Drosophila melanogaster: one gene and its partner. The protein of the gene in region 1 purifies or fractionates together with the protein of each later gene. This does not show direct contact. Each region holds a gene or a part of one and is shown in the gene's direction. Other genes may lie near its edges.

Region 1 (3,929 bases):
GATACAGATGCAGACATACATATAGATCGAGTCGATTGATTGATTCGTTTTGACCGCACATCAATCATAATCGGAGTTATGGGAATCGAGTTAGAGATTTCATCATTATTACAGTAGTAGTAGTAATAGAGAGAGAGAGAAAAAAAGGGAAGACAGAGAAAGCACATAAAACGGAAAGAGAGATCACAGATACACGTTTATTCAGCTGCCATTGGAAAAAGGCATCTAGAACGTCTTAAATGGACATCTATGCATGAACAACTGAGCATGTTGGTGGTGATTTTCGGCTGGTCATGAGTGCCTATTGAATCTGCAATTAACTTAAGCCGTCTCCAAGCGAGGATTCGTGGTTATGCAACACGGCTAGCATCCAATCATCACCATTAAAAAGTTTATCAACGAGTAACGGAAAGCTTTCAAACATGTAACTCCTTCAAGAGATATAAACTTAGTAAGTATGTATATGTCTGTAAATGCAGCAGATGCATGAGCTAGGTTGTGTACAATCAGTTTAACAATATATGAACTTCGAAGGAATGCTTCAAAACTATTTGATTAGCTTGCAAGAAATGAACTGAGTATAAGAAGCAGTTCTTCGATTTGTGCATGACCAATGATATATGAATATACATTTGAATAATATTAGTGACATTTATAACTAATACCATCCTCGATACGAGTGATTTACAATGAAATTTTATAGCATGCCAGCGAATTTGATTTCAATGATACAGAGAATACTTATGTAACAGGCAATCAAAGGTCGAATACAGATACTCAAACGATTTAGTTTTTAAATGGTTGTGTTTGTGATTCAGTGTAATGTGATATTCGGTGGGTGGCTTTCGATGTGAATGTATTTATTTTCATCAGTAATGAGACTACAACAAACGGCCGGTGGCTGCAGCAGCGACGATCAACAGAAGCGGATGGTCGCTATATATGCTATATGCTATATGGCTAGGCTATATGGCTACTCAAACGGATCGAATTTACATACAACTTATAACGCATATATATAGCACTTTCTAGATGTGGCAAGCTTTTAAGCAAATCGATCGGCAGCGGTACATAATTGCTGTGGTTGCTGTTGTTGTTCGTAGTTCATTGCGATTGAAAATAGGTGGTTTACCTGACTTAATGCCGTTGGCATAGCCTTCATCGTGTGAATATTTACCGGCAGGGGTGGAATGCCAGTGATTCCACTAGTTCCGCTCAGCAGTTTCTCCACGGACGTCTGTCCGGTTCCGTACTGCATCGATTGAATGGCATGGCTGCTTAGACTCGAGGATATGCCGCTGATTGAGTTGGGCACCAGGGCCGATATGGATGATAGGCCGCCTTGGCCGCCGCCCCCGACCACGCCTCCCGATCCAGCGGAGACGCTGTGGGCGGCAGCAGCGGCGGCCGCGCTGTGCGAGCCAAGACTGGTGCCGCTCAAGCTGGTGCTGGCCCCACCATTGGGCAGCGTGGAGGCCAGCGATTGCGGCAGGCTTGAGTAGCCGGAGGATAGGGCGGAGACACCGCCGCCGCCGCCGCCGACGCCACCTCCTCCTCCTCCGCTTCCTCCCAGAACTGCTCTTTTGTAGCGGTTCAGTTCTTCTTCGAGTTCTGCGGGCATTACAAATTCCATTCTATATTCTATTTCTGTATTAGTGTTATCTCTGGCTTGCTTACCACTCTTTGATATGGTTCTAAATTCGCTATTTACCGTGCTCAACATGGAACTGGGCGGCAATGCTGACATGCTGGCGCTGGCCGAGGTGCGAGGTTGTTCCAGCTCGGCCAGCACGCGATTATCCTGCAATTAGGCAATAAGGATAGATAGATTTGTAGTAAAATGACAATTCTCTAGAGAACTTGAATGTACATCTTAATAGGCTATTACTTTAGCATTGATCTATTATTTCCCCAACTGCCCTGAGAAGTCCGAAGTAGACAATTTTGTATAGAAAAAAATCCAAATTCAACGTGAGCAATCCAAACCAGATTGGACGGATGGATAGCTCGGTGCCATCCGGAGCCGAAAGCGGTCTTATCAAGGAGTACAAGGACTTTGCCAAATGCCTGGACGAACTGGAGTTCAAGACCGATGAGCTGCTAATCGATGCTAAAATGGTGGATCAGGAGTTGGCCAACTGCCACAAGTTTCGCGAGGATCAGCTGCTGAAGCATCTGACGGAGAAGAACGACGACGACGAGCAGATGCAGTTGCTGCGGGAAAACATCGAGCTCAAGGCGACCGGCGTTGAGTTCCAACACGGCATTGAGCTGATCATGGAGAAGTACCGTGAGCACAGCGAAGGGGACATGTTAATCGATACCTACCAACTGAGGGAGCACTACCTGGCCGGTTTGTCGAAGGTGGTCGAAGAGCAGGATGCCCGCATCGAGCGTATGGTTGATGTGATGAAGCTAACTGTCGACTTCGAGGACCGGAGCAGTGCCGAGAACCAGCAGATCATTTGCCAGCTGACTGATGAAAATGAGCAGTTGCGTCGTCAGTTGCAGATCAGTACCACCGATGAGCTGTTCCGCCAGGGAGCACTGAGCTCCAGCGAAAGTAGCACTCAGATCGGACCAAACGATTCTTTGGATTCGAGTGCCACCCGGGAGAATAGCATCTACAGCATAGATAGCTTCCTCTCCTGCCTTTCGCCGAGCAGCGTGGAGGATGATTCGGAGTGCTCATCCAACAATTCGCTGCTGAGTGAGCTGGAAGTCACTTGCTTTATTGAGGAGGCTCTGGCCGAGAAGCCCGAGGAGTAGACCTACAACATGGACGAATAGGCACAACACACGTTCCTGCCCCACTGCAACACTGGCTGTTTACGTTGATTGAATACTTGGTACTTGGTACCCGAAATATAATTTCATTCGAGGCTACACTATCCACACACTACTAGCTGTCTGTTAGCTGTTGCTGTTCTTTCATAAAGATCTATATACCATTTGCACTCCTAGGAGATTAGTTGCACTTAAATACCTGCTCAATCTTTGCCATTATGATATCAATCTCGGATCCTTGGTCCTGGTGGCTGATTGTCGGTGCCCAAGTGACGGTGGAGCTGCTGGCCGATGTAGGAATGGTCGCGCCGCCACCGGAGGACACGCTCCCCATTCCGGAGCAGGCCGAGCGGGATGCCTGTTTGGCCTTCAGAGCCGACGTCAGTTCGATTTGCAGCTCCTCGCAGCGCACATTTTCCAGCGCAACCTATGGATTTTTAGAGTTCAATACGATTGAGTAGATATGATTTGAGGGCATATAGTCACCTTCTTTTCCAGTTCCCGGGCTCTCGACTGCAGATTCTCCACCGCCTCGGCATCGGGACGAGCGCTACCGCTCAGATTGCGTATTTGTGCCAGGGTTTCCTAGGATAGCATATATATATAAATACAGATAAACAAAATGTTCTATAAATCCTATAACAATACAATTGCAATATACTGTTCTTAAAATCAAACTATAGTACCATAGTTTTTCATCTGAAATTCCATTAATATGTGCATGAGTTCACGGTACCTGGAAGGACACTCACCTGATGCGCCCGCTCGATCTCCGTGCGCCGCATCTCGGCATCGCGCAGCTGCAGGCTGAGGGCGTCCAGCATTCCGTTGGGGGTGGTGCCAGCGGCCACGGCAGCGGCCGCCGACTGATGATGGTGCATCGACTCGTACGGCATGCTGTGGCTGCCCCTCGGACGACTGCAATGGAAGCGATAATCGCACATGAGAATGGGGTCAGTGAATCTGCAGCACGACGAATGGACGAACTGCCGCTGGGCAAAGACTGCAGGACTTGGCAGCTATAACTAGTTGCTGCTTTTATTATCCCTTATTTATTCATGCGCCTGATGGCTGGTGCCTGCTGCCTGGCGAATGTGGAAATAGGTCAGCTGCCTGGCACGCACGTGTCCTTGGGGTTCAGT
Region 2 (3,929 bases), on another chromosome or scaffold:
CATGATGCGCTGCAGGAGTAGGTCGGGCTGCCCTGATATGTTGACGTAGTTGCTCGGTAAGTCGGTGATCTTTGCTGAAAGCGCTTGGAGTGTGTCCAGTCTGACAATATCAGAAGATATCGTCCTCCAGGAAAGGTCTTGGCGTTAGTACCTGTTTTCGCCGTGATGCCAGACCGGGCTTCAGTCTGGGCGCCACACTACTACTGCCAGGAAGAGTCTTTCCTTTCCTTCGGGATCCAAGGAGAGTAGCCGTTGAAGGCAAATCCACTCGAACGGCGACAGTATCGATAATCCCGTATTTTAGCTGTCTTGTAGAGCTGGAAAAACATTGATGTTTACCTCCATCGATGTATCAATACATCGAAATTTTTAAGGGTGTTTTTTAATGTATTTTAGTCATTATCATATTAAAAATGAATACCAAAACTAAATCAAAATGGGTAAAAGTTCTTTATAAATTTAAAATTCATACTTTGGTGTTTTTATTGCCTGAAAATCAAAATGAAACTTAAAACTACTTTCTCGTCAAACACAAAAATTATAATGAAAAATGAATTCAATTTAAAAGAAAATAAAACAAACATCGATAAAGCTGCAAACTATAATTAAGATATGCACTCATTATACCCGTTACTCATAAAGTAAAAGGTTATACTAGATTCGTTGAAAAGTATGTCAGGCAGAAGGAAGCGTTTCCGACCATATAAAGTGTAAATATTCTAGATCAGGATCAATAGCCGAGTCTATCTGGCCTCTCTCCGTATGAACGTCGAGATCCCAGGAATTTTAAAAAGCTAGAACACAGAAAAAGACGCAGCGCAAGTTGGTTGACCCATGTTGCCACGCACACAAACCTGCCAGCCCCACTCTAACGCCCTAAAACCTCCCAAAAATGCCGCGCAAAACACACATTTTTAAACCTTTTTTCGATATTTTTTTCATAATTCTATTAGTCGCTAAAATTTATATCGATATGCCAAAAACTTTTTACACGCCTACTCTAACGACCAAAAGCCGTCAACCCGGTCACGCCCACAATTTTGAACAATTTGTAAACTTTAACCGTTGCATGCTCTAAAGGTTAAAGTATTGCCTTCAAATCCTCGAAAATGAATATTTTATTCGATATTTACGGCAATAACCAACCCTTTGAGAGTGTTCAGTCAAAGACACTACAATAATTCTTTATTATTCTAGAGACTTTGGTTCAGTAGAACAGTTGCGATAGCAACCTTTGTAATCAAAAATCGTTTCAGCAGGTAAAACGCGCCATTCCAACTGGATTTTCTATACATATATATTTTATTTTCTATAACCTATTTCTATTGTTTCAAACTATATGGGCGTTCATCAATTACTGTGCGGATTAAGTTTGCAATGTTTTCAGAAAAATAAGTTGTTTCGTCGAAATCCGAATCCGCGCAAGTCTGAGCCAATGTAGTAGCGTAGAGCACTTGTTTTCGATTCGTCAACGTTTCATTATTTTGTCAATAAATGACAGAATTGACTGCTGTTGCCTTTGTGGCAATTCACTGACTGTTAAATTAATATGTATCCTCATTACGTGGCAAGACAAGTTAGTATTATTCGCACTTGTTTGGTGTCTTGCCCCACTTAATACATTTGTCTGTCTTGCCATTAGCCGATTAGCTTAGCAAGATCTTTCCCTGCAAATGGTGATGGGTAAAACAGAAAAATCTAACATCGATGTCCGAAAATTTCGATGTTTCCGATTTTTTTTTAAATATCTATGTAGCGCTATCTCCGATGTTTCTTCCAGCTCTATTTTGTAGTTTGCGAGATCACAGCCTTCAGTCAGACAGACCGGACCTGATCGAATAGTGTTTATGATCAGGAGTACACTATACTTTAAGGTTCGGAAACACATTTTTATGCCGACTACAAACATACCCTTAACCTTTCTAGCATACGACATTGCTCTAAAACATTTTAAAATTCCGAAATCTCCTTTCTTATTATAACAATTTTAGAAAATTATTTGTTTCTTTTTATTGGAAATGTAATTGCAGAACATTTGTATGCCGACTACAAACATACTCTTAACCTTTCTAGCATACGACATTGCTCTAAAACATTTTAAAATTCTTAAATCTTATTTCTTATAAAAATTTTAGAAAATTATTGTTTGTATTTATTGGAAATGAAATTGCAGAATGGAATGGTTCTATCGTTGCATGTCAACATAGAAACTGGTATATGGTATATAAACTGGTATATTGTATATTATTATATACAATAATGCTTAGCGCTTTTTTCATCGTTCCGTGTTCATCACCAGTTGATTGTCGCTATTTTGACGGAAATATTTTAAGTATGCACACAAATTTACCGCGAAACCAGGTGTTTTTGTACAACAATTGTTCAAAGTTAAAGAAAACTAAAAAACACGGGTAGAAGGTTGCAACAATTAATACAGGAAAATTACAAAATTCCAAGGTAAGCCAAGCGTGCATTGTAAAATAAAGGTAAAAACGTTGCGCAATATCAAACATTTATATTATTGCGAATTTAATGTTCTTGAACTTAAGCGGTCCTCCCCGTACCATATAATTTATTTTTAAATCAAAAAAGTAAACAATTTCCAACCGTTCCAAACATTTTTAATGCCTGGTTTAAGTTGTCGTAATTAATCGGCACATCCTTAACTCGAAAATTGCTTAATTCATAAGAATGACCAACTAATGGCATAGTTTTTTGTTTACAATAATTCTTGAAAACATTGCTATTGAACGTACATATTTTTGTATCAAATGCAAATTCATTCTGTATGTATGTATGTATGTATGTATGCATTTACATATGTGTGTATATCTTATGTGGTCGGAAACCTTTTCAAATTTTCATCGGGAAAAGACAAATTTTATAGTTACATTAAATTAAAGCAGGCCTTTAAAATTTGGATTCATTGTCAATGTTTCGGCTAGTCGGATTTGTCAAACAGCAGCCACTCGTGTATTACTAATTACTAACTTGTTAATCCGCTTTTGTTCTCGTATCCCCAAAGGTTTGTTTGGATGTAAAGTAATGGTCTTGGTGTGCAATGAGTGGTTAAAAAATAATGTTGATGAAGACCAGACGTCAAGTTCATTATCGCCGACGCCAGCATCAGGAGCAGTCGGATCAACGGCATTAAACAGAACTGGCACAACCGACACGGCCACGGAATTACCTCAGACGACCAGATATCCATCCGGGGAAGAACCTGCTGTGAAGCCAGAGGAGGCGCAATACGCTTTAAACATGGAAACTGAAAAAAATTTGGAGCAGGACAATTTCTTTCATATAATGGACATAAAAGAAGATATGGCTGATAGTAACAACGAGGCGTCCACGAAGAACCAGGAAAATAATAATATGGAACTTTGTGATTCCAACACAGTATGTATTGACCGACGTCCGGCTGAAGTTTCCCAGCATGCTATGAATATGGCCATGAACTCTGTGCTGAATGCAAATAACACCGGGGTTGGAGTTCGAGTAACTACTGCCTGCAGTCTGTTTAGCCCACTAGGAGTACTAAACAATAGTGCTTTACAAAGGGAGGTGGCATCGGAATGCGGCACTTTACAAGTCTCTTCAGTGCCCCCAACTTCTGGCGTAGATCTAGACATAGGATTGGAGTCTGCCCCAACGCCATGTAAGGGTGCAGCAAAAATCGTACTCCTATGTGAACCAAAGTCGCACAAGTTTGAAACGAGATCTATATTGCTGCAGCCCAACCAGGATTGCAAGGTGGGCCGCCTTATAGCTAAAAGTAAGGCGGGTGAGGGGAACGCTATATTTGACTGTAAAGTATTGTCAAGAAACCATGCGATTTTGTGGTACACTCCAGACGGTAAATTCTGGGTCAAAGACACAAAATCCAGCAACGGTACCTTTATTAACGACAACAAGTTGGGTAGTGATCC

What was found.
Region 2: the proteins of h-cup (region 1) and Slmap purify together in Drosophila melanogaster (affinity purification with mass spectrometry, with the first as the bait; one large-scale study listed by BioGRID). This does not show direct contact.

The regions. Positions count from the first base shown.
Region 1 is NT_033777.3:15,380,939-15,384,867, reverse strand, and holds h-cup (heineken-cup), read left to right. Parts: upstream 1-1,916; 5' UTR 1,917-1,998; coding exon 1,999-2,769; 3' UTR 2,770-2,986; coding exon of another isoform or gene 2,987-3,214; 3' UTR 3,215-3,273; coding exon of another isoform or gene 3,274-3,372; 3' UTR 3,373-3,461; downstream 3,462-3,929. Other genes in the region: Rbp (RIM-binding protein), read right to left, coding at 1,133-1,611, 1,678-1,801, 2,987-3,214, 3,274-3,372, 3,540-3,705.
Region 2 is NT_033779.5:22,576,796-22,580,724, forward strand, and holds the start of Slmap (sarcolemma associated protein), read left to right. Parts: upstream 1-2,276; 5' UTR 2,277-2,457; intron 2,458-2,954; exon of another isoform or gene 2,955-3,025; 5' UTR 3,026-3,045; coding exon 3,046-3,929.